Linked DNA regions of Macaca mulatta. The protein of the gene in region 1 purifies or fractionates together with the protein of each later gene. This does not show direct contact. Links are inferred from orthologs where the notes say so. Each region holds a gene or a part of one and is shown in the gene's direction. Other genes may lie near its edges. The genes, in order: DUSP10 and MAPK9.

Region 1 (16,553 bases):
TAAATGAAGATAGGGAGCATATTAATTCTCCTAACCAGCCAGTCACCTCTGTGTGATCAGTAGAGGCCAGGATGAACCTTGAAAAGGGGTCTGAGGTCACCCATGCTTTGGCCATGCCATCCAGTGAAATTACTTTACAAAAAAAAAAAAAGGAACAGGATTAAAAAACAAAACAGAGGATGGGCGTGGTGGTTCACGCCTATAATCCCAGCACTTTGGGAGGCTGAGGTGGAGGTGGGTGGATCATGGGGTCAGGAGTTTGAGACTAGCCTGACCAACATGGTGAAACCCCATCCCTACTAAAAGTACAAAAATTAGCCAGGCATGGTAGTGTGTGCCTGTAGTCCCAGCTACTCAGGAGGCTGAAGCAGGAGAATCGCTTGATCTTGGGAGGCGTGGGTTGCAGTGAGCCAAGACTGTGCCACTGCACTCCAGCCTGGGTGGCAGAGCAAGACTCCATCTCAAAAACAAAAAAACAAAAATCAAACAAACAAAAAAACCAGAACCACCACAACAAAAAAATCCCAACCAGGATCCTTCCTTTAACTGAAATTTTACTTCAGAACCCCACAAATAAGACATACATCTATCCATACCTATATCTACATCTGTCAAGTGTGGAGGTGTGGAGAACAAGATTGTGGTCACAGAGGCTCTATCAGTTCACCTCTGCCCCCATTTCTATTGCCCCCACTTGTATTTTAAGCTTATGGCACACCTCAATTCAGACTAGGCACACTTCGAGTGGCCAACACATGTGTCAAATGACCACCACACTGGAAAATACAGATATAGAGCCTTAAATGCCTCAGAGTCTTTTCCTGAGTCACAAACACACCTGCCCATGAATTTTGTAGGAAAGAACTGCAGGCCTCTTGTGTCCAAACATGTGGATAGTGGGACAAGCACATGGCCCTGCCTCTGTTTCCATCATTGCAGTAGCCACTGTCTTAGTCCAGTTGTGCTGCTATAACAAAATAGCTGAGACTGGGGAAGTTGTAAGGAACAGAAATTTATTGCTCACATGAGTTCTGGAGGCTGGGAAGTCCAAGATCAAGGTGCCACCTGCAGGTTCACTGCCTGGTGAGGGTCCAGTCTCTGCTTTCAAGATAGCACCTTGTTGCTGTGTCCTCCAGAGAGGATGAAAGTTGTGTCCCTACAGGGGAATGGAAGAAAACTCACTCACTCCCTGAAGCCCTTGTGTAATGGCCCTAATCCCTTCCATGAGGCCTCTGCCCTCACGAGTTAACCACCTCCTAAAGGCCTCACCTCTTAATACTGTCACACTGGCAATTAGGTTTCAACATATAATTTTCGGGGAACACATTCAAACCACAGAAGCTCCTTCCTTCAGGGACTCCTTTTAATCAGCCCTTCCCTAGGACTGGAGAGTATTGTTGGATGTTTTGCCAGACTGGCCTCAATGACCTCAAACACTTACCATGCCACTTTCCTATTCTTCAGCTTATTCCCTACTCCTTCTAGTATGATATCATCTTTAGCCTGGATTATTTTTTAAGTTTTCTCCAAGCCATTCTTTGCCTTAATTCTAGTACCTCCAGAAATCTACCTTGACCTTGAGGATTATTTTGAAGGCCACACCTTCTGTCATTACCCCACACACTTAACCATTTGAGTGCACAAAAAAGAAGTAATTTAATTAATACATTTGCTTAATACTATCCATATTATATCTTACATGTTGGCCTAAGTTATCTTCAGTTTTTGTCTTTAATACACAGCACTTTGCACTGAAACAGTCAATATTTTTCTTATGATGTTTGTGGGAACAAAGATATGACTCAATACAATCACGTTACAACATCCAAATTGAACGAAGATGCTTCACTGTTTCTTTGGGACTGAAACTAACATTAAGGCTCTGCTGCTGGTTATTGACATACAGATCAGGTTTGTAGCCATTGGCTGACTAGCATTATGAATTTAAGTCTCAGGGCAGTATATTTCGGTGTAGTATTTTCACATTTATGACTCAAAAACAGGAACAAAATCACCTCTTCTTGTCCAAAAGATGTTTTGAAGAGTAGTGAATGGAAAAAAATTCCATCTATAATCTGATTTTGTTCACCAGTCTTATGACTTGAATATAAGCTTAGAGAAGCCTAACTTAAAAAATAACTACAGCTTTGCTTATATTCACAATCTGTTAATTATTCCATGTTTCAGTAATTATTCATGTTTCAGGTGTGATACATGATAAGGAATTTTGCCATCTTTCCCAATGTTTCAGCCTGGATGGCTTAGATTCTTAGTCAACTAAATTATAATAATCTACTAGTTTGAAACTGTAATAAAACAATCATCTCATTACAAGAGTTGCCTTTCTTTTTGAAATTACTTTTCTTTTTAGGGCCTTGTGGGAAAAGCTGTTAAGAGCTCTTCTGCAATTATATAAATCTATACTTTGGGCTTAGATATCAAGGCAGTAGCAATTACTTCATCATTTATAGATTACACATACCTTTAAAGATAGGCACCTTATTTCCTAAAGCAAGTAAATTAATTTTTTTTTCCACTGAATACCTTTTATCAGCAAGGGATCTTTTTTCCCCCTAAGCACTTGAATGAGTTCCCTTTTTCTTCTAAGTTGGGGTATTACCATTTTATGGATAAATGAAGACAGAGACTGGATGAACAGATATAACAGATAGAGTCAGAATCAGAACGTAGAACTCTCAAACTCTGAGTTAATGAAAAATTTTCCAATAATTGTCTACGATTAGGGAAAGGTAAGCTTGCAGCCTTTCAGCTCCAGATATATCAAGGGTAGAACCTCTGGGAAGTTCTTTTCTGATTTGTATAGAAATTACCCAGCATCCAAGTTTCCTGACCATAACCTGTTGATCTTCAAACATTTAAGAACCAAATGGTGTGCCCTAAGCAATCTGCTGTTATCAGGAGCATGAATGGATGTGTGTGTTGGTGTGTGGATGAAGAGAGGTGTAAACCAAAAATAAAATTCTAAGCTCCTCACCCCCCTTCCCAGGCAACCATCTGAATGGACTAATTTCTGAACCAGGACTCTTGGAAAATTTATTCTGAAAGACTGGTCCAGGCCATGAGGGGAAGTGAGGGTGGGATGCGCCCCATTATATATCAACATGGACTTTAAGTCTGAAAGAAACATTTTACAACCTATTCTCTCTGAACCTGCTGCCTGGAGACTTCATCCGCATAATAAAACTTTGGTCCCCACAAGCTCTTATCTTAACCCAGTCATTCCTTTCTTTAATATCAAGTCTTTAGACAAACTCAACCAACTGTCAACCAGAAAATGTTTAAATTTACGTATAGCCAGAAAGCCCACCCCCTCCTTAGAGTTATCCAGCCTTTCTGGACCAAACCAATGTATTTCTTAAATGTATTTGATTGATGTCTCATACTTCCCTAAAATGTATAAAACCAAGCTGGACGCCAACCACCTTGAGCACGTTCTGAGGACCTCCTGAGGGCTGTGTCACAGGCCGTAGTTACTCATATTTGGCTCAGAATAAATCTCTTCAAATATTTTACAGAGTTTGACTCTTTCCATCGACAGATGTTACAGAAAATCCTCTCCTATATAAGACTATCAGATGTACGTGATGCCAGTTGTAACACTGGTGTGAAAAGCTGGACTGGGGGGGTATGTGCCTGCATGTAAGTGGAAGCGCCCAAAGATATTTCTCTTCACAGCTCATTGAGCATAGCTGACCTGCCAGCTAGGGTCTGACACCTGGTGATTTCAGATCTGCCCTGAAAACAATTACATGAATATGCCCCTGCTACTTAGTATACTATTAGGCCTGGAGTCTGAAGTAGACCTCCAAACCCCATTCAATCAAGTAAGGGAGAAAAATGATAGCCCAACATTCCCTAGTGCTCATAATGTATTATTCCATTATAATTATTTCACTTTTTATCTCTCCTCTCACAGATAAGAAAAGAAAAAGCTCTACTTCTTTAGGGTTCTTGGACGTAGACTCTCCACAGTTCATCTGGGGTTGTTCATCTCCACTTCTTTTTGTATCCCAAGGCAACTTTCCTGCAGTTTCCCTAACACGAATATTCTCCGGACTAGGCGCGGGGCGGCTTGCCCCGCCCCCCAGTCGTCTCCCGGGATGCGCGCTATGGCCAGCTACCTGGTGCCGGCCAAAGTTAGGGGAGCCAGGAGAGGCGGCGTCGCCTCCTCCACGCTCCTCCGGCCCCATTCAATCTAGCTATTTGCACTCGGCTCTGGCTCTTTTCCGCCCAGCTGCGGCTGTTCCAGAAGCGCCGGGCTGGCAGTCCTGGCCTCGGCAGGGGCCGTGAGGGACTGGGGGGGGGAGGGTCGGCCGAGGCATGTGGGGCGGGTGGGCTGCGCGCGGCTGGCACGGCGCGGGGACCCAGCGCGCCAGGTGGGAAAGGGGGAGGTGGCGGGGGGGACCAAGCCCCGGAGGGGCGGCGGGCGCGTAGCGGGCCCCAGGACGCCCGGCCAGGGGATTGGCCTCTGCACCGCTGCTCAGGGCGCGTCCCTTGCCTCTGGCGTCGACTCAGGCCTCTTCCTCCTAGCAGCCCTCAGTGGCGCCGCCTTAGTGCTCCGGGTCGAGCCCCGGGAGAGTTAGTCTGGGGACGACAGGGGCGTGACCAGGGCGCGGAAGTAGGTGAGCAGGAGGGCGGCGCGCGGCGGTCAGGCCGGGACAGCCGGAGGGGCAGCGACATCTGCGGGCCGGCGGGAGGCGGACGCTTCCCGGGCGGAGCAGGGCTGTCCGGAGGACGCGGGCCGCGTCGAGGCTGAAGGGCCTCCCTGTCCGGTACTGTCAGCTGCCAAGCTCTGGCCCCAAGCGCGTGGCCCCGGACCTCGGCTCGGAGCGGAAGCGTCGCCCCTGCCTGCGCGCTCACGTTGGTCCTAGCGCAGAAGACCCGGCGAGGTCCGCGAGTTTTGGCTTAGGGTTTGTCAAGTCACCTCGAGCGACGCGGAGAGAACCTGGCTTTCCCACTAGGGACGGTGATCGCAGTCTCTTTCCTTTAGAAAGTTACTCCGACACTTTTGATCATCCGTCCATATTAAGGAGGAAAAACAGCGTGGTTTGCCCCCGGGTGAGGGAGTGTTGGAGGATCCCGTCCAGTGGGAAGAGCCAGTTTTAGCGGAGCGGCGCGTCCAGTCCGCTGACGCTTCAGCCTGGTAAAGGGTTAACTGCATCCTGCCGGTTCGGTTTACAAGTAAATAGAGAGCAGCTGCTCAGCGCGGCCCCGGCTGGCTCTTTTTAAGTTTTTGATTGGTTGCCAATGACATCACCGCCCGTGTTATAACACCGAGGACCCAGAGCAGCGTCGGATAAACCCTCCTTAGAGAGATGAGGCCACGCCTTCTTCCCCGCCCCCTAGGCTGCCCATTGGTCGCGGGGCTTTGTGAGGTAGCGGTCGGCTTTGTCCGGATTCTTATTGGTCCAACGCGCCGTCGGTCGGTGACGAGTCCGCCCCCTCAGAACCTTACATTTACAGTGTAGCAAAAGAGAAAGTAACTATGTTGCTGCTGGAGATCAATGAAGCCAAGTGAATGGGGGTTGAATGTGAGAGTCCATAGCTGAAGCGGAGCGCCAGATGGTGGAGGACTACACTTATTTATGAAGTAAGTGGAAGTCACCGCGACTACTGAGAGCCCGGGACTGGAGGTGGAGGATTGTAAGGCGGTGCTTGCGTGAGTGTGAGTGTGTGTGTTTGTGTGTGTGTGTGTATGTGTGTGAGAAACAGAGACAGACAGAAAAAGAGAGATGCGATGCTGACGGAGGAGCTACAGCAGGTAGGGTTATAAGGTTCCGGCTGTTGGCTCCTGCTACCCTGTGCATTTACTCTCTCTGCAGTCTACTTGGATTTGGGGCGAAGAAAAAATGAGGTTTGTTGGGATGCTTTGCGGCAGTTTTAAATGCCCGGGGTTCATTAGTGCGCTGTGTGCCGAGGAGTGAAGGGGGGTGGCGGAGGGACGGGGGGATGTTAAGTGCTCCAGGAGTGGGGAAGAAGCATTCTCTAACCACTTAATTTTCTCTCCAGCTCTTGCCTAGTGGTGGAAGGAGAGGGGATAGCTCAGTATTTCTCCGGGAGATTTTCTGGGCCAGACTGAATGGTTTCACGGGCAGTATATACGCCCGACCCTCTACTGCAGGGATGCAGATCTCTCTATACACTCCGTGCGTGCGTGTGTGAGCCGCGCACTCTGTGTGGAGGTGTGGGTCCCAGCGTGTGTCTCTGTGAACACGCTTATGCGTCCCTCTCAAAATAAATGGTCTGTTGATCCTGGACGTGTCCTACCAGGTAACACCATAGCGAAGACTTTTTCAGCGCTTGGTCCAACCGGGAAACAGTTATAGCTTCTGGAATAGTACTCGCTCTTCAGAAAAAAATACTACGCAAGGGAAGGGGGTTGGCTTCTTCGCTCCCATCCAAAGGTGGGTGAGAGAAACCCGAGTCGTTGGAGATCTGCCGACGTGATGGGTGCATGCCCCCGTGTGCGCGCGTGAGTGTGGATTCCGCCTGTGACACTTTGGTTCTGTGTCAGAGAATGGTGACGGTCGTGTGTAGACGGATGAGAATGGTGACGGTCGTGTGTAGACGGATGATGATATTTTTCCAGACAGCTCTTAAAGTTCGTTTAGGTGAGCGACTCTTGGCGTGGGGTTTGGTGTCTTTGCTGTGTGCATGTCTAATAGAAGAAGAACAGTTAGCAAGCCTGGGTTGTAGAGTGTCCCTGTGCCTACAAGAGGAAGGAGCCGTCTTTTTGCAGACAATATTTGAAATCAGAGATAGATCCAGTGGGCAACAATTCACTGCCCCTTTCAGCGGGTACAGGCTAATTGGGAGGTCCTCTTTATGGAGTCGGTACTCTTGAAGGGGGGATATCTGTATGGGATTGGAACCTTATACAACGTGGCTGCCTCCCATTGAGAGAAGCTCTGGGATGCACAGTCTGTGCCAGCCAGGGAGATGAAGAGGGGAGGTGAGCTCAAGTTGTCCTTTCCAGGCAGGAATGAGGGTAGGGGTAGGTGGGAGAGCAAAGGGTGATGGATCTGCCAGGGTTGGGGTTTCCAGGTTTCCAGATCTGGCTCCATGGCTTGAGATTTCGTTTTAGGACACCAGTTAGTAGTGAAAAGGGGAAATGCAGATTAATTTATAAGAGGCCAAAAGACAACATGTGAGGTTTTAATATGACTATGTTGTGCGTTTCAAAGGACCCCAATAGGATGGAAGGCAAGAATAGCTCCAAGTTAAAGAGATTCACTTAAGGGGATTTGCAGAAAGTTGACATCCACTCTGATGTATATTTAGCTGCTGTACATTTCTGTGAACCATGCCAGTGCTCTTGGTTGCCCCTTTGCCTTTGCAGCGAGTGAGGGAATTAACTGGCAAGCATGCAAGGGTGGACAAATGGGTCTTTCTCAGATGTTTGCAGTGTACTTCTGCGCAAGAGCTGAGGTTCAGAATAGATGCCTCTTAAGAGCCTCCCTTCTGTCTTCAGCTTTTCTAATTATTTGTGCTTATACCTTTTCTACAGCTGAACTTTTATGTAGGTCCAGGAAATATTCATTAACATTTACAACTTTACATCCAAATTTAACCTTAGATTTAGCAACCAAATTGATTGGGGCCCTCAGGTTTGCATCCTCTTTGAATACATAAAAATGAGTTTCAAGTTTTGATTATGGTATGATAGAGGGCAATTAGGAAGACTGCTCAGAGGGATGCAAAGGCCTTTCCTAGGGATTGGATGAGACTGCCTTTTGTGTCACGTGACTTTATCCTTTCTTTCTCCCTTCCCGTTCTTTACAGACTGTCTTGAGTTCTTCTTGAATTGCCAGTTTTCAGCCTCCTCATGCCTCCATCTCCTTTAGACGACAGGGTAGTAGTGGCACTATCTAGGCCCGTCCGACCTCAGGATCTCAACCTTTGTTTAGACTCTAGCTACCTTGGTTCTGCCACCCCAGGCAGTAACAGCCACCCTTCTGTCATCGCCACCACCGTTGTGTCCCTCAAGGCTGCGAATCTGACGTATATGCCCTCATCCAGCGGCTCTGCCCGCTCCCTGAATTGTGGATGCAGCAGTGCCAGCTGCTGCACTGTGGCAACCTACGACAAGGACAATCAGGCCCAAACCCAAGCCATTGCTGCTGGCACCACCACCACTGCCATCGGAACCTCTACCACCTGCCCTGCTAACCAGATGGTCAACAATAATGAGAATACAGGCTCTTTAAGTCCATCAGGTGGGGTGGGCAGCCCTGTGTCAGGGACCCCCAAGCAGCTAGCCAGCATCAAAATAATCTACCCCAATGACTTGGCAAAGAAGATGACCAAATGCAACAAGAGTCACCTGCCGAGTCAGGGCCCTGTCATCATTGACTGCAGGCCCTTCATGGAGTACAACAAGAGTCACATCCAAGGAGCTGTCCACATTAACTGCGCCGATAAGATCAGCCGGCGGAGACTGCAGCAGGGCAAGATCACTGTCCTAGACTTGATTTCCTGTAGGGAAGGCAAGGACTCTTTCAAGAGGATCTTTTCCAAAGAAATTATAGTTTATGATGAGAATACCAATGAGCCAAGCCGAGTGATGCCCTCCCAGCCACTTCACATAGTCCTCGAGTCCCTGAAGAGAGAAGGCAAAGAACCTCTGGTGTTGAAAGGTAATGCCCCTGCTCCCTTCCCAAGCACAGTCCTGATTAGCCGGGTTCACTTTGGGTTTTCTCGTAGAAGTGACAGCATTCTCCTTACCCTGGCTACCAAAGACCAAAATAGACTTTATTCTTGTCTTCCCTTCTATGCTCTTTATTGTGTTGGTTTAGTAAGAAAAACCCAGCAGTACTGAACTGGAAGCCAGAAGATCTGGGTTCTACCCTTAATTCGGCTTCTAATTTGCATTGTGCAAGTCATTTCACCTCTCTGGGACTGTTTTCTCATCTTTCTAAAAAGGGGCTTTATATACACCAGATGGTATCTCAAGTCATGCCTGGTCTGCTAGCTCTATTCCAGTCAATCACTAGTTGGAAAGTTATTGTCTCTCAGACTTAACCAATGTTGATGGAACAGAGGAAGGAGCAACTATGGTGAACTACAAGTAAACCTACAGGTACCAGTTCTTTTTGTGGGAAATTCTTTCTCTTTTTCACCTTTCTGACCAGCTTGACTTTTATATGGTTTATAAAGTGACCTTGAAGAAGGGCAGAGCTTCTTATTCTAAGGTTCCATATAAGGTATAAGTTCACCAATTACATCCATTCCTCTGCCAAGGCTCCAAGGGAACAGAGACGTTTTTATGAAACACTCCCCAATCCATTGTTTTTTTCTGGCCTCACCTGACAACAGTTGGCATCATGGCTCCTACCAAGATGGAGTAGTGGGTCACTTGCCCCAGTATACTGAATGCAGAATAACTGAGATTAGTGGAACTAAGCTCCAGCAGAAGGAAGTATTCACCCAGTCTTCTTGGAGCACCGTCCATACCGTGTTGCCTAACCTTCCCAAGTAGCCTGCATCCTGTGTCCAGCCTAGTTGCACCTCTTTGCCCTCAGATACTGACTTTTGGGGCACCGTACATCACTCTCAATCGGCATCTTTTACCTGGTGGTGGTAGTGAGAGATAGTCATCTTCTTCTCTCCTTTTGTGTTGTGAGCCAAGGTACACAGTTTCTGGGTCACATCTCCAACCAGTCTCCTAAAGTGTGTTGACCAAAGGTGTTGCTGAGTTTGAACACATTGCATGTTTAAATTGCAATAGGCCATGTGGGTGAGCAAGTTAGTTATTTTGTCTCTACGGGACAGCTTTGCCATTCTCCTTCTTGTCTTCCCAGTGAGGCATTCTGCCTTTTGTTAAGCAGCGTTCTGGGAACTATAGTTCTGAATTCCATTGACACAATCTCCTTTTCCCAACCTCCACTCTCCTCAAACTTGTCCTCATGGGGCTCCCCTACCACAAAGGCACATCTGTCCTTAGAGCTGGTGGGCTTTGCTGGGAAGGAGAACATGATGGAATTGTATGTAGAGAGTTCCAGAAGCTTCTAGGCATTTCCTGGTGGTGGTGGTGGTTGTGGTGGTGGGTTTTCTTGAGGTCACAAATATGTTCAGATTTCCTCTGCGTAGCTCTGTATTTTATTGTTTCTGTATTCTTGTTTGGTTGACTTTGAGTGATTCCCAGGATATTTACCCTGCTATTGTCTTACTATAATCTTGGTGTGTCTGGCCTCTTACAAATGAGAAAATCCTACCTGGGAATTTCCCATTTGTAATAGTTTGTCTTGGGGAGCAAAGAGGAGGATAGCTAATGATCTTGATGATCTCCTCTTTGCTCATGCAGAGCAGGTGTTCACAATTAAAAGCAAGTCTTTTGTGTCTGCATGATTTGAGGAGAGGAAAAAACACGGATCAAGATGACCCTAGACCTCCTAATCATGACCCTAGACCTAGACCTAATCATGAGGATGATTAGAAGGAGTTGCAGACTCTACTCTCTATTTTGCAGCGGGTGAAGTTGTGGATAGGGGTGACCCATCAGTCACTGAAAAGTGAATCTCCTGGGTGCTACTGGTGGAAGTGGGGTGCCTCTCTCCCTTTCCTGTGGATGCAGCTGAGATTCCAGACAGCCTGGGCTTGTTCTTCAGTGTCAGAGAGTAAGATTGCCTCAATGGGGCGGGGCCGGACACACTGCTGACCTCACCACTGGGCGCCCTGGGCAGCCACTGCGAGGCCTCGTCATTTTTGAGTTGGTGAGACACCGCGTTGGTCGACTTGGAAGACGCTCTGGTGGTAGAGGTTAGATTATTTGTAGTTTTGGGGGCCTTTTCTTCAAATATCTGGGAATTTCATTGAAAATATGTAGTTCAGGAGTGAAGGGGTCTATATTCTACTTTATAATTATCATTGTCATTTTGATATCTTTTGGGAGAACGGCCTAAAATTGGGACCAAGATGGAAAAGAAGGGAAAGGAATGGGTCAGTATTAGAATGTCCTTCATAATCCTTTCAACTTGGTAAACCAGTGATTAATACCATAGCACCATTGTGGTGAAAGACGGGGTGGGCATTCCCCAAAGGCATGACCAGCAGACTTCTCCCAAATTCTTGAGTGGGTCAAGCAACAATTCTGGTCTGGCTTCTCCTCTCAGATTTATTTGAGTAATCCCCTCCCTTGGTGATAAGATTGTATTTCAGCAACAGGGGTAGTGGTACCATTTTGGAAAGAGTAATTTTTGTAGGGAAGCTGGTGGGAAGGGGGCATAGTTAGAACATAAGGAGGAAACTTCTAAGGGCCTGTTAATTTATTTTCAGAGATTTCAGTACAATCTTGGGTAATTTATGGCTGGCCCATCTGATGCTCTGGTTTATGTTTGTAAACATTGGTTGCTACCCTCCCTGTCCAAGCTCCTTGTCCCCCTGTCTCCATGCCATGCTCTCCATTTTTGGTGCTGTCTGTCAAGTAGAGCGGCTGCTAACTTGCCATTTTAGTAATGCTGTGTCAGGCTGGGAAGAAACCGATCAGAGGCATGGCAGCCCCTGGGATTAAGTTACTGTTCTAATTTACGGTGCCCTCCCTGTTGTGACCTATGTTAGAATCCATGTTTTAGTCTCATCTTCTGAAGAATAAATGGCATCAGACCTGTGCTTCCCTTCAACTTGGTGAAAATGATCCAAATGAATAAATATTTAGGGATTTGTGAGGTCTTTGAAAGAATTATATTCTGTTTTACTCAAAGCTGATTTTTAATCAACTAAAACTTGCTTTCTAGTCAAACTGAATAAGAAAGCTAAACTATTCTTAAAATTCTTTTAACAATTTTAAACAATTCTTAAAAATAAGAAAGCTAGACCATCCATAATGAGAGCTATCGTTTTTGCTATCAAGATTTTTGGGCTCCCTTTCTTTTTAGTAAAGCTGGATCCAGAGAAATAATTTGTCATTTACTTAGGTAGGAAAAAATAGTCTACTGCCCCTTTTTCTTAAAGACAATACATGCCTCCAAAAATGTTATTATAAACATTTTCAAGCATATAGAAAAGCAGAAAAGTGTGTAATGAACACCCATATACCTGTCAACCAGATTAAACAATTTTATTTTTCCTATTTGCTTTCTCTTTTCTGTTGAAATATTTAAAAATATAGATAACGTTTTAATGTATTTAAGTATGTTTAATGTTTAAACTTAATGTTTCCAATTCAAGAAAGCTAGAAATATAGTATACTAAGAACAACATTTTCACTCCTAAACACTTGAGTGTCATGTACCCATTTTTAAGTGCTTTTCAACCTAGAATCCCTCTGTGACTGATCGGCAGTCTGGTCTACAGAGGAGCTTCCATCCCTGGGAGTGGGAGGGCTCCAGGTGCCTCCTTGGGGTCTGTGTCTCCCCCTTCCTCCCCTGTTATGTCAGAGCCCATGCCTGTACTTGCTCTATGCTATTGTAAAACAAATAATGACCAACTGCTACAATCTTTATAGGACTGCTCTGTACCAAAGGCCTTTACTGGGGAATGAGAGAAGAAGAGGGAAATGGTTTAAGAGGATGATCCATGGGGTGGATTTGACCATGCAGTGAGTTAGGCCTTTATACTGTAAAATTTCACTTCTTAGAATTGAGCATCATAGATTGCACACTTTTCCCTAGTTGAAAAGGATTCTGAAATATACTCTTGTTAGCAATGTAGAGTTCTATGACAAAGTGGATGGCTAGGCTCAGAAATCAGAGACCCTGTGAAAAATATTCTGTTTCTGCCTTTTCTGGGGGATGGGGAAGGGAATAAAAGTCTCCCTTTGTCTCTCAGAGATGTTATAAGGATTCTTAAAAAGGTATCTGAAATAAAGACATATCTGCATTCACAAACGTGCTGCTGTTATTCTGTGCCTCTGGTTAACATCCAAGACTAAAATGTCAAACATTAGCTTTGTAGCAAATGATGGGGAAATCAAGGCAGAACTTTGGATCTAGTCAGTCTGAATGCTAGTCTTGGCTCCCCTCTTACTAGGTATGTGCCCTTGGGCAAGTTGCCGAATCCCTCAGTTCCTTAGTTACCTCATTAACAAAAAGAGATTATAACAATCGCTGTCTCAAAGTGTTAGTTTCTGAAATAAATGAATTAATGTGTGCAAAGTGTTCAGAACTTTACACACATACATGGTAAGCACTCCATAAATATGGTAAAATGTTGTTGATATTGATTGAAAGGAAATGATAGTGCCAGTAAAAAGGCAAATTTTGCTCCTAAGGAGTACAAACAACAAGCTAGGTATAGTAGAGTGTGTGTTGCTATGGCCTAAAAATAACTTAATGACTGTTAACTAATTTAAGTAGCATAGAGTTGGAGTGCCAAAGTAATTGCAAAAACATACTGGGCCAGGAGGCTGGAGTAATTTGGTATATCCCATAATTATTTGTTTTAGGAAAATTTGTAAAAACATAATCTGTCCAACTAAAGTCCCATAACAAAAGTATAAAACTTTCTAGCTTTGCTTTTTGTTACTTCTCATCATCTCATCAGGAAGATTTATTTTTGGAATAAGGATTGTGGACTGACTATAAAAGGGTAGATAGAAGGAGGGGTGAGCTGGTTCCTGAGCCTGGGGTTGTGAAGGGTTGGAATGTGAAGGAAAAAGGAGGGAAGGAGTTGAATGGCCTGCTCCTGTCTTTCAAGAAGTCCTGAAACCTCTTTCTGAACTGCTACACTGTTAGTTGGCTGTCCTCTCTCTGAGCTTTCAGGTACACTCTCCTGCTTCCTAATTTAAGTGTAGGTGAACAGATAATAGAAATGAACTCTCTCTCCCAGCCGTGTTCTTGCTTCATCTGTTCCTCATTCACGATGTGCTCAGCAGAGTGAAATTTTGCTCACTCACACCTGGGTTCAAATCTAGGCATTTCCATTGACCAACTGTATGCCTTTAGGCAAATCAGGGGATCTCTCAGGGGCCAAGTTTTCTTCATTGTAAAACAGGGACAGCTCCAGCATCCTAGGATGAAATGAGGTGACATAAAGTACCTGGCATTTGATGGCCCTCAATAAATCAAGCCTCTGGACCCTGCTCTCCTACTCTCATGCCCTAATGTAAGAACCGCTTACATTTCAGGGGCCGGGGGTGTTGGGGAGGATGGGCAAGTCATTCTAAGCACAGTACTGTGGGAGCATGTTAAGTATGAATACTCTTGCCCTTACCAATTCAGAACATTCAGCTTGTCATGGACAAGTTCAAGAAACTCTTCTCCTGGCAATAGTAGATATTATTTCAGATTAGAAAAAGCAAAGCAGGGGAAGGAAACTGAATAGGTAAAGCACTTTGCCTAATTCTGTTTTCAAAACGTGTGTATGGGAGAAAGCAGAAGGGAGAATGGTGAATATGTACACTTTCCTACTTGGTTCTTTGGGCAAACCCATCTGGAAGTCTGACAAAATTACAAGAGCAGAAAAACTTTCCGTCACATATTCCTGGTGCATACACCCTCAGGGACTAGGTGGGAGCTTTTGACCAGTAGCAAAATCTAGCTCCTTAAACCCAGCATTATCAGAAGCCAGAACCTCCAAGCCCCAGCATTGCTGAAGAGCAGTTTGGGCATGAATGTGTGATATATTGGAGTGCTTAGGCAATTTAATCCAAGTTGGTTGAAAAAGATAGACTACATACTAAGCAGAGAAATTCTAGTTCCAGGAGAGGTCATCTCACCTTTGCGGAATCAAAGAATCCCAGCTTTGAGAAGAGCAAGGAACTTTAGAGGGCCCCTAATCCAGTAGTTTTCACTGCAGGCTGTTCGTTGGTATCACCTGAAGGTGATTTATAACCTGTGATGCCCAGTTCCTGCATCCAGAAAGCCTGATTAAATTGGTCTGGGGTGCAGCCTGCACATCAAGATTTTTTTAAAGCTCCCGAAGTGATTCTAACAGGCAGCAAAGTTTGAGAACCATTGATCTAGTCCAGTATTCTCACTATGCCACTACAGGAAAGGGGCCTGGAGCAGTTTATGACCTGTCACATGCATGACCTTAATTTTGGAGATTTGGTCCTTAATGTTAAAGTAGGTCTTGCCAGGTTCAATAGATTCAACAGATATCAACAGATTGATGTATTTGTATGTATTATTATTTAATAACAGCATAATCTAATATATAGCATAAAATATAAGATAATTAACATTTTTTAGTACTGATGCCTTTTTTCTTGAATTTTGAGATTTCAATTCAGAACTAAAAAGACCGAAGTCTGAGGACTTTCAAAACCAGCAGTTCATGGTCTATATATTTACCTGGATATTATAATATGGACCAAATATTAATGTTGATTTAATCTCTTCATCTAGGGAACCTAGTGGTTTAAGCTGTTAATCTAGTGGTTTAAGCTGTTAACAGCTATCAAAACTGATTTCGAAACAGGTATCAAAGAAGCCCAACCATCTTAGGCTTCTAGGGACTTTTTGGTAGGTGGTCTCCACAGATGTACAAACTTGTGGGTAGAGGAGATTCATTTGTTTGTTCAATAAATATTGTTGAATGCCTTTGGTGTGCTAGGCACTAATCCGCAGGCTGGGGAATTTGCATCACAATGCTTATTCAAATACAAGAAAGACAACATATATGGATGGGACCAGGCTTCCAGATCCTTTCCGTCTTGAAAATCATGTTCATGTTTGTATTCTTCATCCTCTTCCATCACACAATCTTATTTAGGGAGTGTTCATCTTCAGGAAATTTTGTTCTGTGAGGCACATGTTTGTACTTTTTTTTTCCTTTTCCTTTTTTAAGAAATAGCCAGCTGGGCGTGGTGGCTCACGCCTGTAATCCCAGCACTTTGGGAGGTCAAGGCAGATGGATCACGAGGTCAAGAGATCGAGACCATCCTGGCCAACATGGTGAAACCCTGTCTGTACTAAAAATACAAAAATTATCTGGGTGTGGTAGTGCGTGCCTGTAGTCCCAGCTACTTGGGAGGCTGAGGCAGGAGAATTGCTTGAACCTGGGAGGTGGAGGTTGCAGTGAGCCGAGATTGTGCCACTGCACTCCAACCTGGCAACGGAGCGAGACTCCATATCAAAAAAAAAAAAAGAAAAAAAGAAATAGCCTGGCCTTTTCTAAATACGTAATGGGCCAATAGGATTTCTTTCCAATGTCTTGATCTGGAAAGAAATGATTTGCTGGTTTTTAATGAAAAAATAAATATATGTGCCCTCTCTGCCTCAAAAACTCAGGGCTGACAAGTCTCCTCTGTGTGGGAGGGTGAAACTTTGTAATTTTGACCCCCCATATTTTGTACATGTTGCTGATAGGAATAAGGGCTTTGTTTATTTTCACTACATACTCTCTATGGAAAGAGGATGTGCTAAGCAAACAAGCATTGTAAACAATATTTCAGAGGCAAGGTTTTGGCCTGCTTTAAAAAAAAAATGTTTACAAGTACAATTAAAAACCAGTATAAGGGACAGGGGTGGGATGAAAACATATCTCCAAGATTTCAAACCTGTGCTGTTTCCCCTAAATCCCCTTCGAGGAAGATTTGAATCCCTCTTCAACAAATTTTCATTGATTATGTTTCTATTATATATACTGTAGAC
Region 2 (15,952 bases), on another chromosome or scaffold:
ATGCCACATTTGTGAAATACATACTGGACTTCAGAGGCTCACTACCAAAAAGAGAATGTAAAATATCTCAGTATTTTTCTTACGTTGATTACATTTTGAAATGATAATATTATGGATATATTGGGTTAAATAAAATACACTGTATTAGGATTTCACCTATTTCTGTTCATGCTGTTGAACATGGCTACTAGAAAATGTACATTATACACATCGTTCGCATTCTGTGACATTGTCTATGGAACAGCACTGCCCTGGACTGATGGTGAGCATGAGGACCTTAGCAGAAGAGAGTCAGAGTGTTGGGGAGCTCAAGTCCAGGTGTGGAGAGCGGGAGGGGACGCGTGTGCTGGACATGTAGATGCATGGATGGAGGGTAGATAGGACAGCCTGAGGGCCTGCGAGACCACAGAACGGGCAAAGGAGAGCCATGAAGGTTTCCACTGAGGGCGAGGGGCACCATCTGACCGCTTTAGGCTGATTTATTTTAGTTTCAATTTGAGAGTAAGATTTTCCAAAATTGTTCCCAAATCTCAGAGTTCTGTTCACTCCCTGCACTCTCACACTGGCTTCACAACCCTCACGGATGCGAAGTCGTTTATTTAGTGTGCTTCATTCATTAGACTAATTTAACCCGTTGCTTTCCTAGGATTTGAAGCCTAGCAACATCGTTGTGAAATCAGACTGCACCCTGAAGATCCTTGACTTTGGCCTGGCCCGGACGGCCTGCACCAACTTCATGATGACCCCTTACGTGGTGACCCGGTACTACCGGGCACCCGAAGTCATCCTGGGTATGGGCTACAAAGAGAACGGTGAGTATAGCCAGGGCTGGAGGAGGCTGGGATGTTTAGAAACTGCTCTAGTGGTGGTCTCGAGTTTTCTCTCTTTCCTTTGAACTATATGATGTATACTGTGGGGACTGTTACGCATAGAATATAGCATGATCCAGAGATAAGAAATAATTAATTGTGTTTTTCCATTGGTTAAAATCATTCTCTCTTAAACATCCACTTTTAAAATTAGTATTTTTGAACTTTTTAATCAGTTTAACCTACCTGCAGCCAAGTGTGCAGATCCTGAGTGTGCAGCTCAGCTGACGTGAGCACACCCACAGCACCCGCAGCTCTGGCCTCCCCTTGGCCCCTCCCCGTCGCAGCACACGGGGCTGGCCAGTCTCCTGATCGCCAGTGCCCTGGATCAGCTTTATTTGTTGGTCTGCATATTGGTGTTTTGAATTTGATATAAATGGAATAATACATGTTCTCATGTAAAATTGGTGTTTTTTACATCAAAACTTAGCTTATTCTAGCAATATCAGAGCTCTTTGAAACTTGGCTTTTAGCAAATTTGTTGAAAATAACGAAATCTCGCTTACTTGTTTTTAAAAAGACTGAAAGTTTGCCCAGGTCATCTGAAATGAGTTTTGCCGCAGGTTCATCTTGCTGCGTTGTAGCTTGTGTTCTCGCCCTGAGAGGCACAGCTCTATGTGCTTCCTGTGGAGGAGAGAAAACTTGATCCCCTGTTCACTTGTCCCCTCTGCCCACCAGCAGGGCATTTAGAGGGCTCTGCTGTCTGTCTGGGGCCTGGGCCCCACAGATGAGGGTGGGCACTGTGGAAGTCTGGGCTCCTCTGGCAGGGCCTCACCTGCAGTCCTACAAGCCGGCCAACCTGCGCCAACAGTCAGTTCCCCCATGGAGTGCTGCTGCCTTTCTGACGGGCAGTCTAGAAAGTGATCGCTCAGGAGGTGTGGTGTCAACAATGCACAAAGGCTCTCACTGGCAAGCTAGTGACATTTACTGGGTTTGTCTCTGGGAGGGGGTTTGGAGAAAAGGGATGTGGGACTCTAGCTGGTTTTTAATCCCCTGGTGTTTGGTAGTGGACATCTGGTCTGTCGGGTGCATCATGGCAGAAATGGTCCTCCATAAAGTCCTGTTCCCAGGAAGAGACTGTATCCTTCACGGGGGACCTGGCACTTGGCCATAGAGGCTGGGGGTGGGCATGTGACCCTGAAAAGCTTTGTGTTCACAGGCACTTCTTGTTTCTGGTTTTTTGTTTGTTTGTTTGTTTTAAGCTATAAAGTATTGGACTCTTTGGCACTAAAACCCCAGATTGCTACAAACTGAAGGCTAAACTAGAGGTCAGCAATCATTCATATTGTGTAAAATTTCACCCTTAGCTAGCAATTTATTTTTCCATATTTGTGTGTTTAGTGCACTGTTAGAATTCCTTTTCCTCACCTTTGTTTTGTTCATGACACTTCATAATTTTATCATTTCATTTTATTTTCAGTTGATATCTGGTCAGTGGGTTGCATCATGGGAGAGCTGGTGAAAGGTTGTGTGATATTCCAAGGCACTGACCGTATCCTTCCCCGCGACCTTGGCCCCGCCATGCTTTCCATAATGCCTCAGGCAGCATGACCACCTGCTTACACGGGCGCTCACGAGGACAATGTCGTAACCACGCCAGACTGTGTTCTAAGGGGGGCTTGACTATATTTGTTAATTAGCGTCACAAACCAAGTGGTTCAATTTTATTCTTTATTTTTAACTTGATTACCTGTGATGATTTTGAGAGTTAGAGTTAAGTTAAATCAATTATATTAGCTTAATTTTACCAAAAATAGCTGGACATATAGAAGAAATTATTTACTCTTTGATAAGTATATTCTGATATTTAAATGAAAATACTGTATTATTTAGTTTATCCCATTTAACTAGGAAAGATGCTATCTAAATTTAATAGACTCATGTACTTGTGTGCTTTAATTAAGTACTATTTTGTTAGTTACTGGTATGCATTGAAATATTTTCCCCCAAAGTAAGAACTGAAGCACATTATAAAAGACCTAAGTGAAAGAGATTAAAATGAAAATTTTGTGAGGAACAATATGTTAAACTTTCTTGTTTGTTACTGTGCTGACATTTTGTAGAATTTAAAAAAAAATCTGGTGGGTTATTTTGTGACACACTGGGGAAGTCAAAATACATGTAAAATGAAAGAGATAAACTCATACTGTAGTCAGCAAGTCGTGTTAGATATACAGCAGAAAGGAGAATAACTAATTGTTACGATAGCCTTCTTTCCTCATTTGCCATTCTTCCATCCTTAGTATTTTTTACCCTAACATGGTTCTTCACATCTTCCCTTTTTCATTTGTGTTTTAACCACTTAGTTTTTCATTAGTCTTTGGCTTTGTTTTCGTTACAAAAGTTGAAATTGGTCTCCATCCTTGGGCAGATTGATGGCTGCTTTTAAGGAAAGCGAGCTCTGTGGTCAGTGTTTTGTGTGTATCTTAGGAAGAAAATTTCAGATTTTAATAAGTTCATCAGAGTGGTCTCCTTATAACATAAATTCTTCACAATGCAAACTTGAAATGAAAATATTTTTATTCCTCTCATTTTATTTACTTTTCTTTACATTTTCTGTATCATAGATTATATGTCAAGTTAAATATTTTATTTGTTCTAGTAAATTTTCTAGCAGTTTCTATAGCCTTACCTCAGATTCACTTGTTTCAACCTATAAATAAGGAAGTCTTTATTTTGCAAGTGAACTTAATTAAAAAGGGAAAGTTGAGGAATTAAGAGACTAATAATTTAGAAATATATACTTAATGTTCAGTTTGTCTCAATTCTTATTCATTTTGTGCCATTCCTTGTTTTATTAAGAAATGTTTTCTTCAAAAAGTACAAAAATGAAAAATGTGAGTACTTTTTGGTGCATTTTAGTAAGTAACTTAAAATTCCTGCTTTACATATTAATATTAATGTCAGTAATTAATGGTGTTATCTATAAGGTTACCTTGTTATTCCCAAAAGTCACACACAATTTAACATCATTTTTCTAAAGAAAATTTTGCCAGCTCTTTCAAGTATTAGATTGAAATTTGGGAGATAGAAAAAAGTTGCAGAAATCAGACTGAGGGTCTCAGAGATTTGCTTTAATGTGTGACCTGGGGTAGAAAAGGAACTCCTGTCCCTGTGGTGACCTATGAGAAAGAGAAAGCTTTCGCCAGGCTACCTCGGGCTCCAGCTCAGACTCCTCCCCTCGGCAGCCAAGCATTCTTGAGAAATTTAGGGCCTCTCTGAGCCTTGGTTTCCCCTTCTGTAAAATAGGAGACCTGCAGTCTGCCTGCAGCTTCACGAAAATTAGACAACAGGGTCCACTGAGCTTGCTGGAATTACTGTTCCCCTTCCCCCAGCCCTCCCATCTGTCCCCTGTCCCTCCCATCTGTGGGATGCTGGGGTGCAGGCCTCTCAGGGAATCTGTGGGGCTTCTCCCACAACTGGTTTAATTTCTAGTCCTTTATCATTAATCCAGCAGATATTTCTCTCACCTGCCCATTTCTGGGTGCCTAGTCTGACTTAGATGCAAAGAGGCTCCTCCCAGCTGCTAAATTGAGGCTGGATCATCAAGGGCAGGGCAGAGCAGGAGACCAGAGCAGAGGCTGCCATCATCCAGAGGAGAGGCGGAGGCCCCCAGCAGGCTGGGAGGGTGCGGCCGGGGAGATGGAGGTGGAGGCCCCCCGCAGGCTGGGAGGGTGCGGCCAGGGAGATGGGCTTGTACTCTGCTTTGAAGTTGGACCCTTCAAGGAGCCTTGCTAGGGTTTGGAGATGTCTGTTAGACAGTGGAATTCAGGGGCAAGGTCTGGGATAGAGAGATCAAAGTGGGTGTCATCCATCTGTTGGTAGCCTTGAAGCCTAGGACTGGTAGCAAGCGCTTGCAGGGGAGGAAGAGACCAGGACCCAGGACTTAGCCCCATTGAGGTGGAGGGACAAAGGGAATAGGGAAGGAAATGGAGAAGGCACTCCAGCGACCCCTCCTCCTAGAGCGTGGTGACAGAGGGAGGGTCATTCACATGAGATGAGGACAGAGGACTGGCCACTGGGCTTCGTGATGGCTGCTGGCAGCCATGATGGGCACAGCATTTATGGAGTGGAGGGAAGAAAGCCTGATGGGAGTATGTTTGAGAGAAAATGAGAGGCTGGGAATTAGAGACACAAGTATAGGCAGCTCTTTTTTTTTTTTTTTTTGGAGACAGAGTCTCACTCCGTTGTCCAAGCTGGAGGGCAGTGGTGTGATCTCGGCTCACTGCAGCCTCCACCACCTGGGTTCAAGCAATTCTCTACCTCAGCCTCCCGAGTAGCTGGGATTACAGGTGCCCGCCACTACGCCCAGCTAATTTTTGTATTTTTAGTAGGGCTGGGGTTTCACCGTCTTGGCCCAGCTGGTCTTGAACTCCTGACCTTGTGATCCACCTGCCTTGGCTTCCCCAAGTGCTGGGATTACAGGTGTGACCCACCACGCCCGACCGACAGCTCTTTATGGAAGTTTTGCTGCAAATAGGAATAAGATAGAGCAATAGGTAGTGGGGGCCAAAAGCAGGCAGCTACTATGTTAACACAGGAGAAAACACTGTCAGTTACCAACGTGATGGAATGTACTGGTAGAGTGTAAAACGTTGATGATGTTGGAGAAGGAAGAGTTGAGGGAGCTCTTCCTTGGGTAAGCACGAGGGTTAGTCTAGAGCTGGGCAGGCTAGGTGTAGCCGGGAGCCCAGTTGGTTGCTGTGTGGCAAATGGCACACAGATGCTGGGTGGGTGCATCCTGGGGAGTCTGTGGGAGTGAGCATACAGAAGAGGTATCAAAAGTATAAGGCGGGCCAGGCGCGGTGGCTAACACCTATATAATCCCAGCACTTTGGGAGGCCGAGGCAGGCAGATCACTTGAGGCCAGGAGTTCAAGACCAGCCTGGCCAACATGGCAAAACCCCATCTCTGCTAAAAATACAAAAATTAGCCGGTCGTGATGGCAGGTGCCTGTAGTCCCAGCTACTTGGGAGGCTGAGGCAGGAGAATCACTGGAGCCCGGGAGGTGGAGGTTGCAGTGAGCCGAGATCGTGCTACTGCACTCCAGCCTGGGCAACAGAACGAGACTATATATATATATATGTATGTGTATGTGTGTGTGTGTGTGTGTGTGTGTATTATATATGGCAGAAGGAAAAAGTGTGAGAACAGTTTTCACATTTTGGCTAAATAGGTAAATAAAATGTGGACATAATTCTGATTTGACAACATGTATGAAACAGGAGTAAGAAGGAGAATTTGCTAGTGAATTGAAGGCCAGAAACCCATTTCCTGAGCAGGTCTTTGGAAGTATAACATTTTGGAAGAACTGAGTTCATGTACCGGTTCCCTAGGTTATTTCATGGTCATGTAAGTTCATTTTTCTAAGACATGCCTCAGTGAGCACTTTTTGAAGCTGCTGTTGATGCTGTTTTTTTCTCGCTTGCATTCTCTTGTATAGTTGAGTACGGTTCCAGTATCACTTTCCCACATGTAATCCTAATTATCCCAAGCCTAACAAGCACCCTGTGGAACAGGCAAAGCTGGTAATGTCTGCATTGAGCAAAGAAGGAAATGGACCCCTAAGGAAGCTTGACTTTCCTGACACACTGTGAGTGTTGAATGCAGAGTTGAGTCTGAAACCCAGGTCATGCACTTTGAAAGGAAATAAAATGCATTACCTCGGTATTGGCAGTGATGGTTGGGAAGAGTCAATTCCAAGTAAAGCAGAGTATCGTTTGAAAGCTGTCAGTGGGCTCAGTCTAAGCCCAGTTGGTTGGTTCCCCGGCTGTAAAGTGAGGAGGTCAGACAGGTCTCTCACAGGTCCCTCGAGATCCTCTGTTCTTCAGAGAGCTGTGAATGAATCTAAGGTAGCATTAGTATGAAAACTGATTTCAATTTGCTGATGTAATGTTTATCTAGTTTCATGTTTAATCATTTTTGCCATAGGTATTCTTAGTTAAAAGATCAACTTTATTTTGAACTAGAGTGGGCAGGTGTGTAGACTTCATTGTGTTGATTTAATAAGCTGTGTCATAGTTTATGAAGATGCAGAGTGGAAGAGTTTTTAAAAATAGTGTAACTTGGAAACCCAAACCTTATTTGAATATTATTTGGAAATTCTGCTGCTGATCCGGTGGGGTGGCCTAGCCGATAGGTGTAAAGATGAGTCAAACGCTGCTGCATGTGCTGTGAATACGAGGCACTCCAGTTGTATTTTCCTCAAGAGACTCCTTAGATATTGATCAGTGGAATAAAGTTATTGAGCAGCTTGGAACACCATCAGCAGAGTTCATGAAGAAACTGCAGCCGACTGTGAGGAATTATGTAGAAAACAGACCAAAGTATCCTGGAATCAAATTCGAAGAACTCTTTCCAGACTGGATATTCCCATCAGAGTCTGAGCGAGACAAAATAAAAAGTAAGATACCCTTTTTTTCTTAGACTTGTGTTTTGTAATTCAGGTGGCGCTTTCAGTCTTTCATGTTTGTATTCTAAAAACCTGTGAGTTTTGGGAGAGAAAGTCATTTTAGGCCAGAAGTCTGAGGTATGAAGGCACTGAGGAGAGAAAGCTTAAAGGTCTGGAAGCTTTATCCTCCATAACATGGCTTAATTGAAGCCTTTGGCCAAAATAAAAATCATCAAATCAGTCTGAAAGAATCTTGTTACAGTTACAGCAACTGGAATTCACAAAGTTTTCAGGTGAAAAGAACCCTTGAATGCAGATTCTAGAGTCGGAGCCATGTGACAGTCACTCGGTAGAAAAGGTCCTCCCCACCTCCTCCTGCAGCCTTTACTACGGTGTGATTGCTTAAGGAGAAAGAAGAGATTTTCTTCTGTCCACATTAAGATTAAGGTAAACTGGGCCGGGCGCGGTGGCTCACGCCTGTAATCCCAGCACTTTGGGAGGCCGAGGCGGGCGGATCACGAGGTCAGGAGATCGAGACCATCCTGGCGAACCCGGTGAAACCCCGTCTCTACTAAAAAGACAAAAAATTAGCCGGGCGTGGTGGCGGCGCCTGTAGTCCCAGCTACTCGGGAGGCTGAGGCAGGAGAATGGCCTGAACCCGGGAGGCGGAGCTTGCAGTGAGTCGAGATTACGCCACTGCACTCCAGCCTGGGCAACAGAGCGAGACTCCGTCTCAATAAAAAAAAAAAAAAATTAAGGTAAACTGTGCCTTAATCAGAAAACCCTCAGTCATTCCTGTGCTTACTCAGGTTGTGAACTTCAATTGCCAAAACCTAGGTGATCCTTATATTTAACTAAGTTATTGAACTTGTTTTTGTTTTTTTTTTTTCTAAATACCAATCTGTAGATTAAAAAAAAAAAAAAAAAACTGTAAGTTGCCAGCACTGTATACAGCTAGGCCAGCCAGAAGCATCTGTGAGTGTTTCATCCTGTGGGAATGTGAGATTGTTGCACGGTTTAAAAAGTCTGTTCTAATTTCATTTTGATGTGACTTAGAGAAAAATACTCCCCCGTGCCTCATGCCCACACCCTGGGCAGTGCCACCCGCAGCTCGGCAATTGCCACCTTCCTTGCTGTGGTTTCCCAGCCTTGGGCCCTGCCCAGACATTGGTCTGAGGCTGCCTGGTGCTCTTCCCCACCACCCTGGGGGCCCAGGTTTCTCTTCCCCTCGCAGATCCAGAGGCGTAAAACCACATTTGGAAACCTGGTTTGTCATGAAAGTGGCCATCTGACTTTTTCTTAAAAATGTTTGGGTTATGGCCAGGCGCGGTGGCTCATGCCTGTAATCCCAGCACTTTGGGAGGCCGAGGCAGGCAGATCATGAGGTCAAGAGATCGAGACCATCCTGGCTAACATAGTGAAACCCCATCTCTACTAAAAAAATACAAAAAATTAGCCGGGCGGGGTGGCGGGCGCCTGTAGTCCCAGCTACTCGGGAGGCTGAGGCAGGAGAATGGTGTGAACCCGGGAGGCGGAGCTTGCAGTGAGCCGAGATTGCGCCACTGCACTCCAGCCTGGGCGACAGAGCGAGACTCTGTCTCAAAAAAAAAAAAAAAAAAATTTGTGTTATATTCATCTTGAACCTATCAAACGTTTCTCAAAATTAATACATCTTTGTTCTGTCTGTGCTGTCGTATTTAGTTCTTTATTGTATGATTCTCTTTGTTTCATATTAAAAGCATTAGTGTATTAATCTAATCTTTGTTGTCACCCTAGCCAGTCAAGCCAGAGATCTGTTATCGAAAATGCTAGTGATTGATCCTGACAAGCGGATCTCTGTAGACGAAGCTCTGCGTCACCCGTACATCACTGTCTGGTATGACCCGGCCGAAGCAGAGGCAGTGAGTATCTGTTTTGAAAAGACTTGTATGTGGAGGCCGGGCTTGTATTTCCTTGGATCTTGTCTGCTCGTCCAGAGCGGCTACATATGGGTAGCAAGTTCTCCATCTGGGGCTCCCAGTTACAAAAAGGCCAAGTGCTGTCTGAGGCCTGGGCCGCTTTGCTCGGAGGACCTCAGGAATGAACTTACGCTTTGGTGATACCAGTCTCCATTTTGCAAAGGCTGCTGTGAGCTCATAGTTTATTAAGCATCTGTTCTGTGCCATTGGCTTTGGTTACATCCTCTTGTTTAGGCCACTCAACCAGAGAGGCTGAGCAGCTTGCTGAAAAATCACACGTCTGTGTATCCTTCCCTAAAGGCCTTGTGCCTCCTGGCTCTCCCGCTGGAGGAGCTCCACTCTGAGTTCGGTGCTCACGTGCGTGTTTCTGTGTCAGCGCTGGTGTGAGTGAGCTTTAGCTGTGAGGGAGATCACTGCGTAGTGGCGGGCTTCCTTCGTGCCATGAGTGACACACATGTTTATGGCATGGCCTGTGGTTTTGCCATCAGTTTAAACGTTGTTTTATATAAAAAGAATCCAATTTATAAGCAGACTTTTGTAACAGTCCATTTATGAGTTGGACTTTGGGTTTGGGAGTTCTCACATGAAGAACATGTAAAATTTGTTCTAAGAAACAGCAGTACCTTCCATAGCTGCCTGCACAATGCCTTGTCCATGATGGGTCTCGGGAAACAGCCTGTGATGGGCAGATGTCTGTGTTTTGAGGTCAGGTGATTATTAAGAGGAACATAGTAACTCTTTTTTGGTTAACTTTTTCATAATTATTTTGATCCCAAAGCTGATCCAATATTGCATGACAAATCTTTATTAAACCATGTGTTGAATTAAACTAAATCCATATCATAAATAGACTAGAAGTCTTCCAAGCGATTTTACCTTTTTTAGTGCCTCATTTTTTTTGAGGCATTACTATTGACTTTACATATGATTTAATTTTTAGCCACCACCTCAGATTTATGATGCCCAGTTGGAAGAAAGAGAACATGCAATTGAAGAATGGAAAGGTAAAGATGGAGCTTATTTTGATCCTTCCTTAGGACATTTCTTCCAGTCCTGTAAAGCAGAGGCTTTTCATTTTGTGACATTTCCCTTCAGGAAGGGGCAAGAAATGCTGCGACCCACTTAGCCTCTTTCTCCCCAGTTTCCAGTAGAAAAAGGACTTGAAGAGAACAGAGTTAGAGAGGAACATGTATCAATTTCTTATCATTTGCTTCAAGAGGGAAAAATAGCATTTTTTTCATGGCTTTTCACATATCGGTTTGTAAACTGAGCTTAGTAATTGCATCACACTTACATTGATAACATGTTGCAAATTTCAGGTGACACCAGTTCACAGGCTGCATGTTACCTATAGAATTCCCAGTGTGTGCAGATATGGGGAGCCAGGGCTGGGGGTCATGTGAACTTCTGCCTGCTTTTTTTAAGCCGTGTAGTTGTACATACGTTTTAAAATCTAGTTTGGGGGAAACTGCAGATTGAAAATATGCAAATAGGTATTATTACCACTGTAAGATTAACCAGACCACCCACAACAAACTGCACCTATAATGAAGAGGTCGGCCTGACAGTTCTTCATTAAGAAGCGGCATCAGTAGTAACTGAGAACCACAGTCAGAGTGAGTCAGCACTGAGGGTGGGTCCTGCCCCGGGGCCCTCCTGGAGTGCCGGTTGCCTGTGTGAGCTCAGCAGTGCATGCTCACAGCACACTCACTGGCCTCCGGAAATGGTTGCAACGCGCTAGTGCTGGTTTATGAATACTGACATTTTAGGAATCCCTAATCACTTACTTAGTAGGTAATTAGTTTTTCTTACAAATGAAAGTTGAAGTTGAAACAAGGAAAAGACTTAGGCGTGTGGATTCATTTCTGGCCAGTGTCGGGGGTTCCTAGCCCACATGTGGATGCCGGCTACCTTTGGAAAACCCCAAGTAACTACGTAGAGAAGCATATTGAAATGGATGTGAGAGTATCCAGTCCCTTACAGTGTTCTGTGGGAGCCAGTCCACTTCATACAGCCCCTTGTGGGTCCAGAACCACCCCACGTTTTGCTCCCTTACTGCTGCATGGAAAAGATGGGATGTAGTCCAGGCGCAGTGGCTCACACCCGTGATCCCAGCACTGTGGGAGGCCCAGGCGGGCAGACGGCTTGAGGCCAGGAATTCAAGACAAGCCTAGCCAACGTAGCGAAACCCCATCTCTACAAAAACTATAAAAATTAGCCAGGCATGGTGGTGAACACCTGTAATCCCAGCCACTTGGATGGCTGAGGCATCCAGGAGGTAGCGGTTGCAGTGAGCCAAGACTGTGCCACTGCACTCCAGCCTGGATGACAGCATGAAACTGTCTCAGAAAAAAAAAAAAAAAAAAAAAAAAAAAACCCAAAGAAAGAAAGAAAAGAAAAGATATAATGTATCAAAACATGAATATTTTGGTCCACTTAGACTATATTACTGAATTGACTCTTATCTTACAATTAAAAATAACACATCGGAGTGCCTTTGGAGTGGTTCCAGTTGATTTGGAAGCAGAGTTTAGAGATACAATGAAACTGTTTAGAAACTGATTAAGCATTTTAACTTGTATTTTTATTAAAGAGCTAATTTACAAAGAAGTCATGGATTGGGAAGAAAGAAGCAAGAATGGTGTTGTAAAAGATCAGCCTTCAGGTTAGTGATTGTTTTAATTGATTGTATGATATTTTTCTTACCTTATTCAGCTTTTCTTTTTTGAGACAGTCTCACTCTGTCACCCAGGCTGGAGTACAGTGGAATGATCTCTGCTCACTGCAACCTCCACCTCCTGGGTTCAAGTGATTCTCCTGCCTCAGCCTCCCAAGTAGCTGGGATTACAGGCACGTGCCACCACGCCCGGCTAATTTTTGTATTTTTAGTAGAAACGGGGTTTCACTGTATTGACCAAGCTGGTCTTGATCTCCTGACCTCGTGATCCGCCCGCTTCAGCCTCCCAAAGTGGTGGGATTACAGGCGTGAGCCACTGCACCTGGCCTCTTTCCCTATTCATCTTTTATAAATGGCAGCAGCATGTTTGAAACGCCAGCCTGGCTAGCATCAGATTTAAAAACCACTGTATGAATAGCCACCCTTTTTGGCTTGTCATAGTGAAGGGGGTGGTGGATGGCATTTTACTGATGTGCCAGGCACTGAACTTCCTTATAAACATTTCTCTTTCATCTTTGCAACGATTGCTGTCACGTCCATTTACAGATGAAATGGAATTTAAAGCCTTTTCAACGTTGATAACCCACCCAAAATGCCAATCTAAGTAAAATGGAATTTGGTTTTCTCTTGAGAAAATTGTTCATATCATTCTCCCATTTTTCTACTTGATCTGCCGATCTTGATAGTGGTGGAAGCCTGCTGACCGGGTGGTTGTACGATTATGAGAGACTCTGATATTAGTGGTATTCACTTACGTCTGCAGGATTCTTCCCGTTTACTAAATGAAACGCTCAAGTTATATTTATTGTCTCTCTCCCACTCCCACTGGAAAGCACACACGCGTGGGGATGTGCAGAGAGCACAGCTTACTTTTTATTCTTGAATTTTATATTCAACATGACGTATGTGTCAAGCATCTAGAGATTATATAACTTCAGCAAGAACTTAAGTGCTTGTTAACTAAGCACGAATTTATGACTGCAGACGTCGATCTCAGAGAGTCTGCATGTTGTATTTTTATTCACACCAGACTAAAATATAGATAGTAGGAAGTAGAATAGTTTCATTTGCTTTAAAAGATTAAAATGTCAGTTTTCTGGAGGTACAAAACAATAAAAAATACGAGGCCACTAATTTTTTTCCTTTTTCTAGTATATAGTCTTTATTGCAAAAGATTTATTTGAATGTTGATGCTTTCTTTTCTGTAGATTTAGTGTTTATGTTATAAATTGTTATAATTCAAATGTCTGGTGACACTTGAATTCAATTCAGGCTTAAGCTTTTGTGATACTGCATTTTCAGATAAATATAGCTGTTTCCTTTTGATGTCTGCTTGAAAGCAGCGGTTATTTTTTAAGTAGCTAACATGATTATACATGGCCACATATATGTTTAGCCACTGAGAAGAAAAGAAGAATCTTGCAAGGAAAGACATAGGAATATGGGACTCTGGGCCCAAAGAAAGACTCAAGGAAAAGTTCAGAAAGTCCAGCTGACTAACTTCTTGTTTATGCTCATAGTTAGGGTTGGGAAACTGCAAAAGGACAGAGCCGAGAAATGGCCTGAAGTCTCGTTGCCTGGATTTGCAGCAATGTCGTGCCTCAGATTTTATTATATTTGGTTTTCTTAGCACAGATGCAGCAGTAAGTAGCAACGCCACTCCTTCTCAGTCTTCATCTATCAATGACATTTCATCCATGTCCACTGAGCAGACACTGGCCTCAGACACAGACAGCAGTCTTGATGCCTCGACGGGACCCCTTGAAGGTTGTCGATGATAAGTTAGAAATAGCAAACCTGTCATCATTGAAGGAACTCTCACCTCCATGGGCCTGAAATGCTTGGGAGTTGATGGAACCAAATAGAAAACTCCATGTTCTGCATGTACGAAACACAATGCCTTGCCCCTACTCAGATCTAATAGGATTGCCTGCTTAGATGATAAAATGAGGCAGAATATGTCTGAAGAAAAAAAGTGCAAGCCACACTTGTAGAGATTTTGTTCAAGATCATTTCAGGTGAGCAGTTAGAGTAGGTGAGGTTGTTTCAAGCTGTAATAGTGACAGTTTCTCATCATCCGTAACTGTTGAGAGGTGTGTGCATGTGACCACAGATGCTTGCTTGGACTTGCCCATCTAGCACTTTGGAAATCAGTATTTAAATGCCAAATAATCTCCCAGGTAGTGCTGCTTCTGAAGTTATCTCTTAATCTTCTTAAGTAATTTGGTGTCTGTCCAGAAAAGGTTGATTTATGTGTATTAATTGGCCGTCATGATGTTATCATATCTTATTCCCTTTTGTGCTATGATTTATTCTATCTTTTGTATTTCAGAAGACATATTAATTAAATCTATTTAATAAATAAAAATATATAGCTTTTCTTAAATTTGTGATGTTTGGGGCTGAGAATTATCACGGCTAAAACCAAGACACTCATGTGGACATCTTGTTTTCTTTAAACTGTCTTGTCTGGGATGATTGTACATTCAGCTTTACTGCACGATAAAATTTTAAGTTTTGCTTAGTGCTGCTTGAAATCCTAGCTACCTTATCTCTTTCTTCTTAGTCTTCTAGACTTACTATGAATTTAAAATTCTACCTAGAACTTCACCTTCTTTGTTAGGCGTGTAACACTCCCTCTTAATAAGATGATGGCAGATAGATTCCTGCATCCATGGCCTAACGCTGGAGTAGAATCTTACAGAATGGTCCCTAGAGACCACTGCAGTCATTCCCTCAGTGCTTCCTTTGCCAGAGACTGACCTGGGTCCTTTACTTACCTTCCCTCATTCACTTTCCCTCTGCCAATACCATGTTCTTGATTTTCTTTCTTCACTGGAAGAAAGCGGATAAATTCCTCTTTGGTCTGTTTTCAGAGGCCAGGCTGATTCAGATGCCTGTTTTTTGCTATTGCTTTCCATTGTTTGGGGGCATTCCTTTTCACAAGGGAAACCCGTGAATGTTCTGGGAAACTCTTCAGAGGATATGAAGGAAATACTTAAAGAGTAATGATTAACCATTGAATATTTTCTGATTTAAAACTGCTCACCTGAAATTGATACTTTGAGACTTTCCGATAAGTAAATGATTCAGAACTCATTCAGATACCGAGTGTGTTAAGTGTCACTGCAGAAACGGAGCTATGACGATCACATTTTGCTGCCTGTGCCCGTGTTTTTCCCTTGAGCTTATTTTCTTGCTGATTCATATCTTGTGTTCAATTATTTTGGAAGCTTTTCAGTCAACATTCTTTAGACTGTGTTCTGAGGAGGAACTGTGATGAGAAAGTGGGTTCTAGATATGATCTAAAGTGCATGGCTCTCTCTGCACCCGTTATGTCCTGTCGGTTGGTCGAATCACTGGAAACTGGAACCCTTGATTAGCAAAACTAATATTGAAATAAGAAATAGTTCTTTTATATTGTCATTTAGACACTTTCAAATACAAAATGGTAATAATAACTTGGATTGAGGCAGAAATACCTATTGTATGGCTGTCTTATCTATCTTCTCTGTAATACACATTCTTTTAAAAGACTTCACTAAATCTATCTTTAAAAGGAAAAACAAAAGGGAGAGGTTGAAAATGCACGAGTTGCCCCGCACTGTGTGATGCTCCCTCCTCGGGAGACGTGGACAGGGACGAGGCCCCCGCAGGTGCCCTTCTGCTCGCTCGCTCGGCTGTGACTCTGCGAGCCACTTGCCACAGATGGAGCCCGGACGGCGCGGAGGGTTTCCTGGAAAGGCCGTCTTCCACCAGGTAGAGGCGAGTGTGCCCAGGACAGGCCACAGGGCTCCACAGAAATACCTCTCCCAGCTTCAGGGCTCTCCCTCCTGAGCCTAGATTTGCCAGGGTCTTGGTGCCACACACATGGTTTCACACTGATCTCTATGGAAAAATGCTGGTGTTGGTTAAAGAACTGAAAAATGTGCTCAACTTTTCATCTTTTCTATTTTATTTTTGTAATTTATATTGTACACAACCCGGGAAGTAACTATTTTGGACATGTATTTTTATAAACCAGGTAATTTATTATTATCCTGGAATTTAGACTAGG

The links.
Region 2: the proteins of DUSP10 (region 1) and MAPK9 purify together in Homo sapiens (affinity purification with mass spectrometry; 3 studies listed by BioGRID and IntAct, with this or other methods). This does not show direct contact. The link is inferred for Macaca mulatta from reciprocal best matches to the Homo sapiens genes DUSP10 and MAPK9.

The regions. Positions count from the first base shown.
Region 1 is NC_133406.1:79,617,049-79,633,601, reverse strand, and holds the start of DUSP10 (dual specificity protein phosphatase 10), read left to right. Parts: upstream 1-5,517; 5' UTR 5,518-5,611; intron 5,612-7,803; 5' UTR 7,804-7,846; coding exon 7,847-8,657; intron 8,658-16,553. UniProt on the Homo sapiens protein: Protein phosphatase involved in the inactivation of MAP kinases. Has a specificity for the MAPK11/MAPK12/MAPK13/MAPK14 subfamily. It preferably dephosphorylates p38.
Region 2 is NC_133411.1:189,248,454-189,264,405, reverse strand, and holds part of MAPK9 (mitogen-activated protein kinase 9), read left to right. Parts: intron 1-646; coding exon 647-812; intron 813-1,876; coding exon of another isoform or gene 1,877-1,948; intron 1,949-2,289; coding exon 2,290-2,361; intron 2,362-7,089; coding exon 7,090-7,272; intron 7,273-9,036; coding exon 9,037-9,161; intron 9,162-10,158; coding exon 10,159-10,222; intron 10,223-11,811; coding exon 11,812-11,883; coding exon of another isoform or gene 11,884-11,888; intron 11,889-13,525; coding exon of another isoform or gene 13,526-13,530; coding exon 13,531-13,673; 3' UTR 13,674-15,952. UniProt on the Homo sapiens protein: Serine/threonine-protein kinase involved in various processes such as cell proliferation, differentiation, migration, transformation and programmed cell death.